Sus scrofa: one gene and its partner. The protein of the gene in region 1 interacts with the protein of each later gene in a biochemical or structural test. Links are inferred from orthologs where the notes say so. Each region holds a gene or a part of one and is shown in the gene's direction. Other genes may lie near its edges.

Region 1 (4,479 bases):
TTAGGAAAAATCAATTGAAAACATCTCTGCCTCATGGGTCAGAAGTTCCTTATGAAGAGAGTCTGAAAGAGTGAAGCATTAACCTCTCTGAGCCTCCATGTCTTCATCTGTAAAATGGCAATAACAATCTCACTTCTGCCTACTTTACAGGGAAGCTCTGACTGGTCAATGGTAAGTACTTAAAAAAAAAAAAAGATTTGTTGAAGGAGTGAGTACATGGACTATGTGGGGGTGCCAGTGACAAGCCGCAGAGGTCTTCCCTGAACAATGTAACTGTGCTGATTTGCTGCCCATGAAACCTAATGTGATGGAGGCCCACATCAGGCAGGGGATCAGTGCTGAGTTGAACAGACAGACTGGATAGTGTGCTGATCAGTGCTTCATGTTTGGGTAATGGACACTCATACTCGATTGGTGAGTGTTTAAATATACTGGTACAGCCTTTTTGGAAAAGTCTAGCTATAACAGTGATAAAACAGCACACAAATTAACCTAGTAATTCCATCTACTAGAAATCCCCTAGATATTCTGGCTCAAATATGCCAAGATTTTCATAGATAGTAAGTATGTTCACTTCAACTCTTTGCAATATCGAAAAACTGGAAATAATGTAAAGTGTCCTCAGTATGGGAGTGGATACATAAATTTCAGTAATCTGTATGATGGACAATGTAGCTATTAAAAAGAATGAGATAAATCCATAAAACGGAGCCGTTTCAGGAGGAATCTAAGTTAACCGAAAAATTCAAATTGACAAAAGTATGATTTACCACAATAATATTCGTGGAAAAAAACTGTAATTATGTATCTGCACAGGAACTACCTGGAAGGCTACACTCCAAAGTTAAGATAGTTAACCATCCTAGTTGATGAAAGAGCTCTTATTTAAAGTCCAGAGGCCCTATTTGTAGTCTGGTCAAAGACACCGTGTGACTCAAGGAAACTATTCACTTTTGGGGGCCAAAGCGAACTTTTGTGAAAGCTAACGATAATGTTTACCTCTTAGTATTGTGATGCGGTGAGATGAAATAATGGATTTGAAAACCCTGGCTCACAGCAGGGACAGATCGTCATAGCAATCAGAGAAGGTGACTGGAAAGAGGGGGCGTGAGCCTAGACTTTGAAATGTTTAGCAAGGCCTGGATTTCGTTTGATGCCAGGCTATCTTTTCCCAACATTCAACAGGCATTTATTTATTAAGTGTCTGTACAAAACCGGATGTCGTGGAGAGGCGAAGAGGAAACCCCGCGCGTGCGCAATGAGAGCACCTTTGGCTGCGCTCCGCCCACGTACTACAACTCCCAACAGGCACCGCTCGCGTGTCAGGCGCGTCGCGAAATGCTGACGTACCTCAGTAGCGCGGGGAATTTCGAGTGGCAGTGGGGCACTGGAGACCAGTGGGTAGCGGATACCCCCCGCTTTTTTAGGGGAGACCATGGACTCCTTGGTCGAACAACGGTGGCCTCCGGGGCTGGCAGTCATGAAGGTGAGTGTTTCGGGGGGGTTGGGGGCGCCCGGCGTCCGCAGGAGGCCAGCCCCGGCTTAAGGAGGAGAAAGGATGAGGCGCCAGTGGCGAGCTGGGCCAGGGTACCTGGCTCTTCGCTGCCACTTGCCAACCGCTTGGCTTTGGACTTCAGTTTCCTCCCCTGGGAGGTGCCGGGGATAAGCCTTGGTCCATTATGGTGATCCAAGGTTGGCCTTCGTATGGAACCGATCATTCTCCGAGTCAGCCACAACAGTAACAGAGAACTGGAGGGAAGCAGTTACTCCAAACAATGGAAACAACAGTGACACCTAATTCTTAGGGCTTACTACGTGCCATGCATTATGTAAACTCTCCCAGTTCTTTAGTTGAGAATCTGACACCGTATGTGATTTGGGGTGAATCCTGCATCAGATAACTCTTGATCGCTTAGCAAGGCAGGTAGTCTCCTTTACATTTCTCTTTAATTTCTTCCAGTTACCTTCAAGAAGCCTAGTGCTAATTTGTCTTAATTCCTCTCTGATGTGTCCTGACTCCTAATAGTTGTGCATCTCTCTCTTTTAAACAAAGAAATCAGGACTGGGGCCCAGCACTAGCCTTTGATCTCATTGCAGTATTTTACTGAAAGAACACTGATTTTTGCGGCTACTTTGTTTTTGGCGAGGCATTCCAGTTTCCATTTACCATAGTGGTGAGTTCTGGATTCTCCTATGTTTGGTTAAGAGCAAATACACTATGCTGTGCTAGCTACAATCAGTTGCTTGGTTTTTCTCCTTGTTCTGTGTTTCTCTTTGCGATTGTGAGCAGGATCACCTTCTTCTGTTCCTTAGTTTGGTAAATTTGAGGATTGTGGTGTCTGTTCCACTGACTCATAAGGCTGACTCTAGGGATTAAGTGAAGGAACGTGGGGGAGGTTAAAGGAGGTATAAGGCCATGTTCTACCTGCTGCCACCAGTGTCATCTCTATTGCTTGGGGACTTGAGATAGCCCTATGGTGAAAAGCTGACATCATGGAAGGATCTAGGAAAGCTGTGGTTTTAAAGTTGTGGTGGCTTTGGCACCAAGACGCAGTGGTGCAGTGGAGAAGAACACAGATTTGAGTTCCAGTGGTTCTGGATTAAATTTGCTCTCTGCTTCATATTTAACTGTGACCCTGATTCAGTTACCTAACCTCTCTGAGCCTCAGTTGCCTCATCTATAAACTGGAAATAGAAATAAATAGTTTATAAGGCTGATTAAATGTGTGTGAATTGGGATGCTGTCTGGCTTATTCACTGTGCCTAAACACAATGGTGCTCAAAAATGACTTGCTAGTTGATTGAAGGTATCTAGCATGTGGTAAGCATTAAATTAATAAATCTTTATTATTAGCATGAAGAAATATTATTAGTTTTTTTTTTTAGGGGATGGAGAAAGATCTATGGCAGATGTTCCAATCTTGGTGGCTTTCTGATAGGCATATACGTATTTTTGCATTTCAGCCAGTAGATGATTTGCTGCGGTGTGGAATTTGCTTTGAATATTTCAACATTGCAATGATGATTCCTCAGTGTTCACATAACTGTAAGTATGTACTCCTTCTGTGAGGTAGTAAAAGTGTGATTTTTATGTAATGTAGTGTTCATTTAACACCAAAAATTAGTACACATACTTATTTCTCACTTTTATTTAGCTTCTCTGTCTTGAAGTTTTCAGGTCTTTTCCATGACCTCCCTCTTGAATAGTAAATATTTTGTATGGGCTCTGATGTTTTTCTACCACTTCCCTCTTGAATGCTTTTATGCCCTTTGTAACATTTACAAGAGTAATGGTTTTGATCACTATGTATGTTTATTTATCCAACACTTCTAGATGTTAAATTTCAGAATTTTTGTTTTTAACAGGATAAGAGATAGGTGGTTCAACCAAGTAGTCCTTGGCATGGAATTTAAAGTTTAAAAAAAAATCCCAGTGGGAGAGTTCTTCCACTGAAGAGTATTACAGACAGAATTATCACTTAACTTGCTCTGTGATGCTGGAAAGAATCATATATTGAGTCTATACTTCTCTCTATGAGGCTAGTATGTAAATATTGTTATACTGTAGCTTGACATATGTAGTGCATAGGAGTGCACCTGTCATTGTTCAGGATCTGCCCTCCAGTTTATGAATTATCTAGGCTTGGGATCTCCCTTATTATCTATTTTCCAGTTGATTTACCTTGGAAAGTTTTTTTTTTTTTTTTTTTTTTGTCTTTTTTTGTTGTTGTTGTTGTTGTTGCTATTTCTTGGGCCGCTCCCGCGGCATATGGAGATTCCTAGGTTAGGGGTCGAATCGGAGCTGTAGCCACCGGCCTACGCCAGAGCCACAGCAATGCAGGATCCGAGCCTCGTCTGCAACCTACACCACAGCTCACGGTAACGCCGGATCGTTAACCCACTGAGCAAGGGCAGGGACCGAACCCACAACCTCATGGTTCCTAGTCGGATTCGTTAACCACTGCGCCACGACGGGAACTCCTTTTTTTTTTTTTTTTTTTGTCTTACCTTGGAAAGTTTAAAAAAAAAAATTAGGCTTAAAAAATGGTTTTGTGGGAGTTCTCTTTGTGGTGCAGTGGAAACAAATCTGACTAGTATCCATGAGGATGCGGGTTCGATCCCTGGCCTTGCTCAGTGGGTTAGAGATCCAGCATTGCCATGAGCTGTGGTGTAGGTCACAGACACGGCTCGGATCCTGCGTTGCTGTGGCTGGCAGCTGTAGCTCGATTTGACCCCTACTGTGGGAACTTGCATATGCCACATGTGTGGCGCCAAAAAAAAAAAAAAAAAAAAAAAGGTTTTGTGAATAGTCGTAGCTTTGGTGAAAATTTTCTATCAAGAAGACAATAAGAGGATAGTGGTGGCAGCAACACAGGCATTAGGGATACATTCGGGCTTGACTCTTCCCTTCCCACTTACTAGGTGGATGAAATTGCAAATCCTAGCATGTCTTCAAATTTGAAACTTTGGTAAGAAGTT
Region 2 (4,583 bases), on another chromosome or scaffold:
CATCTGCATAGCAGTCATTAATGCCCAGGGGATCCTAGAGTTTTTTGTTATTGGCCCCTTGGCTAAGCACCTGAATCACAGTGTAGCTTAGTTGTTGAGAATTCTCACACACACACACACACACACACACACACAAAGTTACTTAACCAAAACTCTACTGGTATCAGAGAAGCCTGGATTCTGCCCCTAAGTTACTTAGTTTCTCTAAGCCTCGTTTTCCTCTTCTATAAAATGAAGATAATCATAATGCCTGCCTCCTAGGGTTGTTGCAAGGATTAAAGAATTTATGTAGGAACTCCTGTTGTGGCTCAGCGCTTAACCAACCCAACTAGTATCCATGAGGATTTTGGTTCGATCCCTGGCCTCAGTGGGTTAAGGATCTGGCATTGCTGTGAGTTGTGGTGTAGGTCCCACACCCAGCTCAGATTCCACACTGCTGTGGCTGTGGCATAGGCCAGCAGCTGCAGCTCTGATTCGACCCCTAGCCTGGAAACTTCCATATGCCATGGGTGAGACCCTAAAAAGCAAAAAAAAAAAAAAAAAAGCAAATCATCTATCATAAAACATACATAATAAACACTTTATAAATGGTAACTAGAATAATTATTAAGACACGTAAGATTTCAGGGGCTCCAGATATCTTTGGGTTTTGGGGGGTTTTTTTAGGGCTGCACCTACGGCATATGGAAGTTCCCAGACTAGGGGTCCAATCGGAGCTGCAGCTGCCAGCCTATGCCACAGCCACAGCAACGCGAGATCTGAGCCGCGTTGGCAGGTGACCTATGCCGCAGCTTGTGGCAACACCGGATCCTTAACCCACTGAGCCACAACGGCAACTCCCAGAAATCTTAGTACCTGGATTTGAATCCTGACTCCGCAGCTTGCTCAGTTGTACGGTGTTGGGCGAGTCACTTAATCCCAGGTCTCAGTTTCCTCGTCTGTAAAATGGGGATATTTTATGTGCTAGCCCTATTTCCTAGGGATGTTGGGAGTGAGAATTGAGTAACATAAAGCATGAAGAGCAATCATCGTGGCGCCTGGCATCTAGTAAGCACCCTACTGTGAATTCTGTGAATTTTTTCATAATTAAGCATCCATTTTGTTGAAGGAAGATCTGCCCAAGCAGAGAACTACTCAAAAATGAATTCAAACCCACTTTTCTTTCTCTGCAACAGCCTAGACATACTATTTTGTGGAGCATTTATATAAAATAAACTTCAGCTTCGGTCTTTTGCAGAGAATTTGATCCTGAAAGGGGATAAGAGGCTCTCCACTGAGGGCTGCAAACCACAGTACAAGAGAGCCCAAGCCCCCTTTATAGTTATTACAATAGCTGTGGACTCACTGCGCTGGCAGCTATTAAAATAAACCTAGGACCGAGCATTAATGATCAGAAAGCAAGTGGTGCCTCTGACAATTGGGTGGCTGACATAGATGAGGGTTTTTTTTTTCCCTCTCTCTCTTCTTTCTATTCTTGTTGTTCAATGATTTTTGAAATTTAATTTAAAGACAAAGTGGTTTTAATCTCTCCAAGCTGTGCAGGATAGTGCTATAGAATTCATTATGTCCATTATGCTCATGCGAACATTGATGGTACACAATCTTAGCAACCCCCTAATTTATGCCGTTGTTTTGTTACTATTCAATGCCTAATAGAATCCGTGAAGCCTGATTCCAGGTGAGAGAGCCGGAATACAGGTCAGCTCACACACAGCCGCGCTCCCCATTCCAGGGGCCACTCGGCTCAGTCACTGGAGGCAGTGTGCTCCCGGTGCTCCGACCGCTGGAGAAAGAAACCAGGGTGTCTCCCCACAGGGGCAGTTGTCGTGGATGGTAAGTCATTTAAGCCATTATTTTCGTATTAAAAGAGATGTGGATATGTTAGAGAGTCTATTGCACAGTTTGAATGCGTTTTAAAGCTGCAAAGAGAGTTCTTATGTACCGGGGACCGTTTTCTGGCACTGCCCTCAGACCCAGGGCGGGGGCGGGGGGTACCTTTCAGCCTCCTCTGCCATTATGGATACTTCGGTCGACAACAATTGTAAAGTACTGCTATAGCGGATAATAGATTTTCAAGCGTCAGGGTTCCTGGGGTAAATTTCTTTTCTCCTGTGAAGTTTATGAGCATAATATTTCTAATTTGTCTTTGAGGTTTTCAACCCGTTAATACCTATCCATAGTAATCAAAGTTGAACAGTAAAGATATAACTGAAAAGCAAACATCTCCTGGTCCTCCTTCCCTCATCCCAGATCCCCCTCTTCAAAAATAACCATTAGGAACAGTTTCTTGTCTAGCCACACGCTCCCCCGCCCCGCCGATGTGATGCATAGGGTTGTAAGAGTAGCTGATTTGTTTTTTATCTGATTCATATTCTGACTGCTTGGATTCAAAATGGCATGTTTGTTTTAGAGCGGTGTCAGACTGTGGGGTACCAGGACTCACGGATGCTGTCAGAGGCAGGAGGATGGGGAAGGGGCAGCTTCTGGACTCTGAGCAAGGATTTCTAAGTGTGATCCTTTATTAAAACCTTAAAAGGAAGCCAGGTCTTTTCCTGTGCAGTTTTAGCTTTGGTCACCGAATGACCTGGGGGCAAGTCCCCTCCCATATCGGAGCCTTAGTTTCTCCTCCAAAGTCCCTTCCAGTTTAGAGGTTCTCTGACTCCATCATTTTTACATAAAGTGGAATCTATGAAAGGACCAGGATTAGGCGGTTTAATCTTTCCTGAGAACATTTTAAAATATCTAACACAGTCGTAAGTGAATAGTCTCTGACTCAGAACAGTCATTTGCAGACTGTGTGGGTGGGTTGGAGTTGGCAAGTAAAATTACAAATGTAAAGATTTACATTAATTTCGGGACCAAGAAGCTGAGCAACAAAATTGCAGCGTGGAGTTTGGGTCAAAGGTAATCTGATTTATCTCAAAATAATTAACATCTATCTTTTCAAAGCTTTGTCTTATTATGTGTAATGTGCACTTCGGTATGCAGGCGGAGATTTATTTGAACAACAAATATTGGATGCCGCAATTTCTGGACACACACAAAAAATGCCTTGTTTTCCACTCAAAATGTTTGGAGGAGCTTTCCCATCATTTCAGCCATTATTTGCTTTAAGTGCAGGTGAACAAGTTCAGATGCATGGTGCTCTCCTTAGCCAAAGGCTTAAAAGAGCCTTTGGTATCCCAGCAACAAATATAAACAATGTTCAAGTAACAGATTGGGCAGTACTTTCACTGTACCCTCTTTGGAGACACAACTGAGTTAAATGAAAAGAGTATTAATCCCTGGCTTTTCCATGACTGTCCCTCGAAGAGGAGTCTCATTTTGATGGTCCATCAAATGAAAAACGGATTGCATTTCCCTGGGCAACTTTCATAACCCAGGGAGGAAATTTAGCACTGTCGAGATTTACATATGTCGAGATTGCTCTATCTAATCACCTGACACGTTTCCGCCGTCTTTAATGTTTTCACTCCCACAACGGGGATGGTTGTGGCCGTAAAGACATAACCGGGGCAAAGTCGGTTGGCTGGCTATTGACAGGTTGGATGGCTACTGACAGATCAGCTTCCGAGGGCCTCGTGTTTGGGAGTGCAAAGGGAAACTCTTCTGGCTAAACGAGCCTCCAGTGCCCTGCGGGGCAGGGAGCAGAGCCATCTCAACGCAGAGAGAGAGGTACCGTGAACCTTACGATGCCTCAGCCTCGGAGCCAGCCTGTGCCGTAGCAACATATTCATTTGATCATCCAGTTTTGCAAAATTTTTGGAAGGAAGATACCTTTGGGTTTTTTTAAACAGGGCACCCAAATTACCTACTCATAAACTGTTACCCCCACAAAACCTGCATCGCCTCCTGCTGGTGGAGCTGGACTAGAAGGAATGTGGAGGCAGCCCCGTCAATCAGGGCAGAGGCGTGACCAGTCCCGGACTCCCCTCGGCTCCCCATCTTCCTGCTCGGGAATGGCTCAGGAGACCTTTTGGAGCCAAACTCTCTCACTTGATGACTATCCAACTGTTGCTTAACTGCTTTGCGCCTCTGTTTCCCCATCTGGTAGGTACAACAATACCTACCTCGAAAGACTAGTGTGGAGATTCCAGGGGTGAATGTGGGCAAAGCGCTTAGAACAATGCAGGACCCACAGTACACAATTTTGCTATTTATTATAACTGTTATGGTTTGATTGGAATGCTTTAAATGATTTTCACTTCATCCATGGGAGACTGATGTAATGGATTGATCCCTGACCTACAGATCTCTAAAACAGTCGCAAGAAAGTGCCACATGTCCTAGAGAAAATGAATCCCCCCCCCACAAAGCAAAGGTTGTAAAGAAAGAAAAGGACAATTGGGGAAGGACTGCAGAGGAATATGTGGTGAGAGTAATAATTCTGAACTCTAAGAGCACTTACTTTACCACACTCATTATCCAAGGGAACAAAGGCCAAAAATGAATCCATTCGGCCTCGCACCCCACACCAAGACCCCACTGCCTGCTGGCCTGCCCGGGGGCACTGGGTGATTGCTGGGGTTCCCTTTGCTCTTGTAGTATTTCAAGGAATTCATGAGATCTGCTTACCAAGTTTG

What was found.
Region 2: the proteins of RAD18 (region 1) and UBE2A form a complex in vitro, tested with the Homo sapiens proteins (12 studies listed by BioGRID, with this or other methods). The link is inferred for Sus scrofa from reciprocal best matches to the Homo sapiens genes RAD18 and UBE2A.

The regions. Positions count from the first base shown.
Region 1 is NC_010455.5:65,356,020-65,360,498, reverse strand, and holds the start of RAD18 (E3 ubiquitin-protein ligase RAD18), read left to right. Parts: upstream 1-1,435; coding exon 1,436-1,486; intron 1,487-2,964; coding exon 2,965-3,046; intron 3,047-4,479. UniProt on the Homo sapiens protein: E3 ubiquitin-protein ligase involved in postreplication repair of UV-damaged DNA. Postreplication repair functions in gap-filling of a daughter strand on replication of damaged DNA.
Region 2 is NC_010461.5:97,923,376-97,927,958, forward strand, and holds the start of UBE2A (ubiquitin-conjugating enzyme E2 A), read left to right. Parts: upstream 1-1,760; 5' UTR 1,761-1,830; coding exon 1,831-1,833; intron 1,834-4,583. UniProt on the Homo sapiens protein: E2 ubiquitin-conjugating enzyme that accepts ubiquitin from the ubiquitin-activating enzyme E1 and transfers it to a E3 ubiquitin-protein ligase. In vitro catalyzes 'Lys-11', as well as 'Lys-48'-linked polyubiquitination.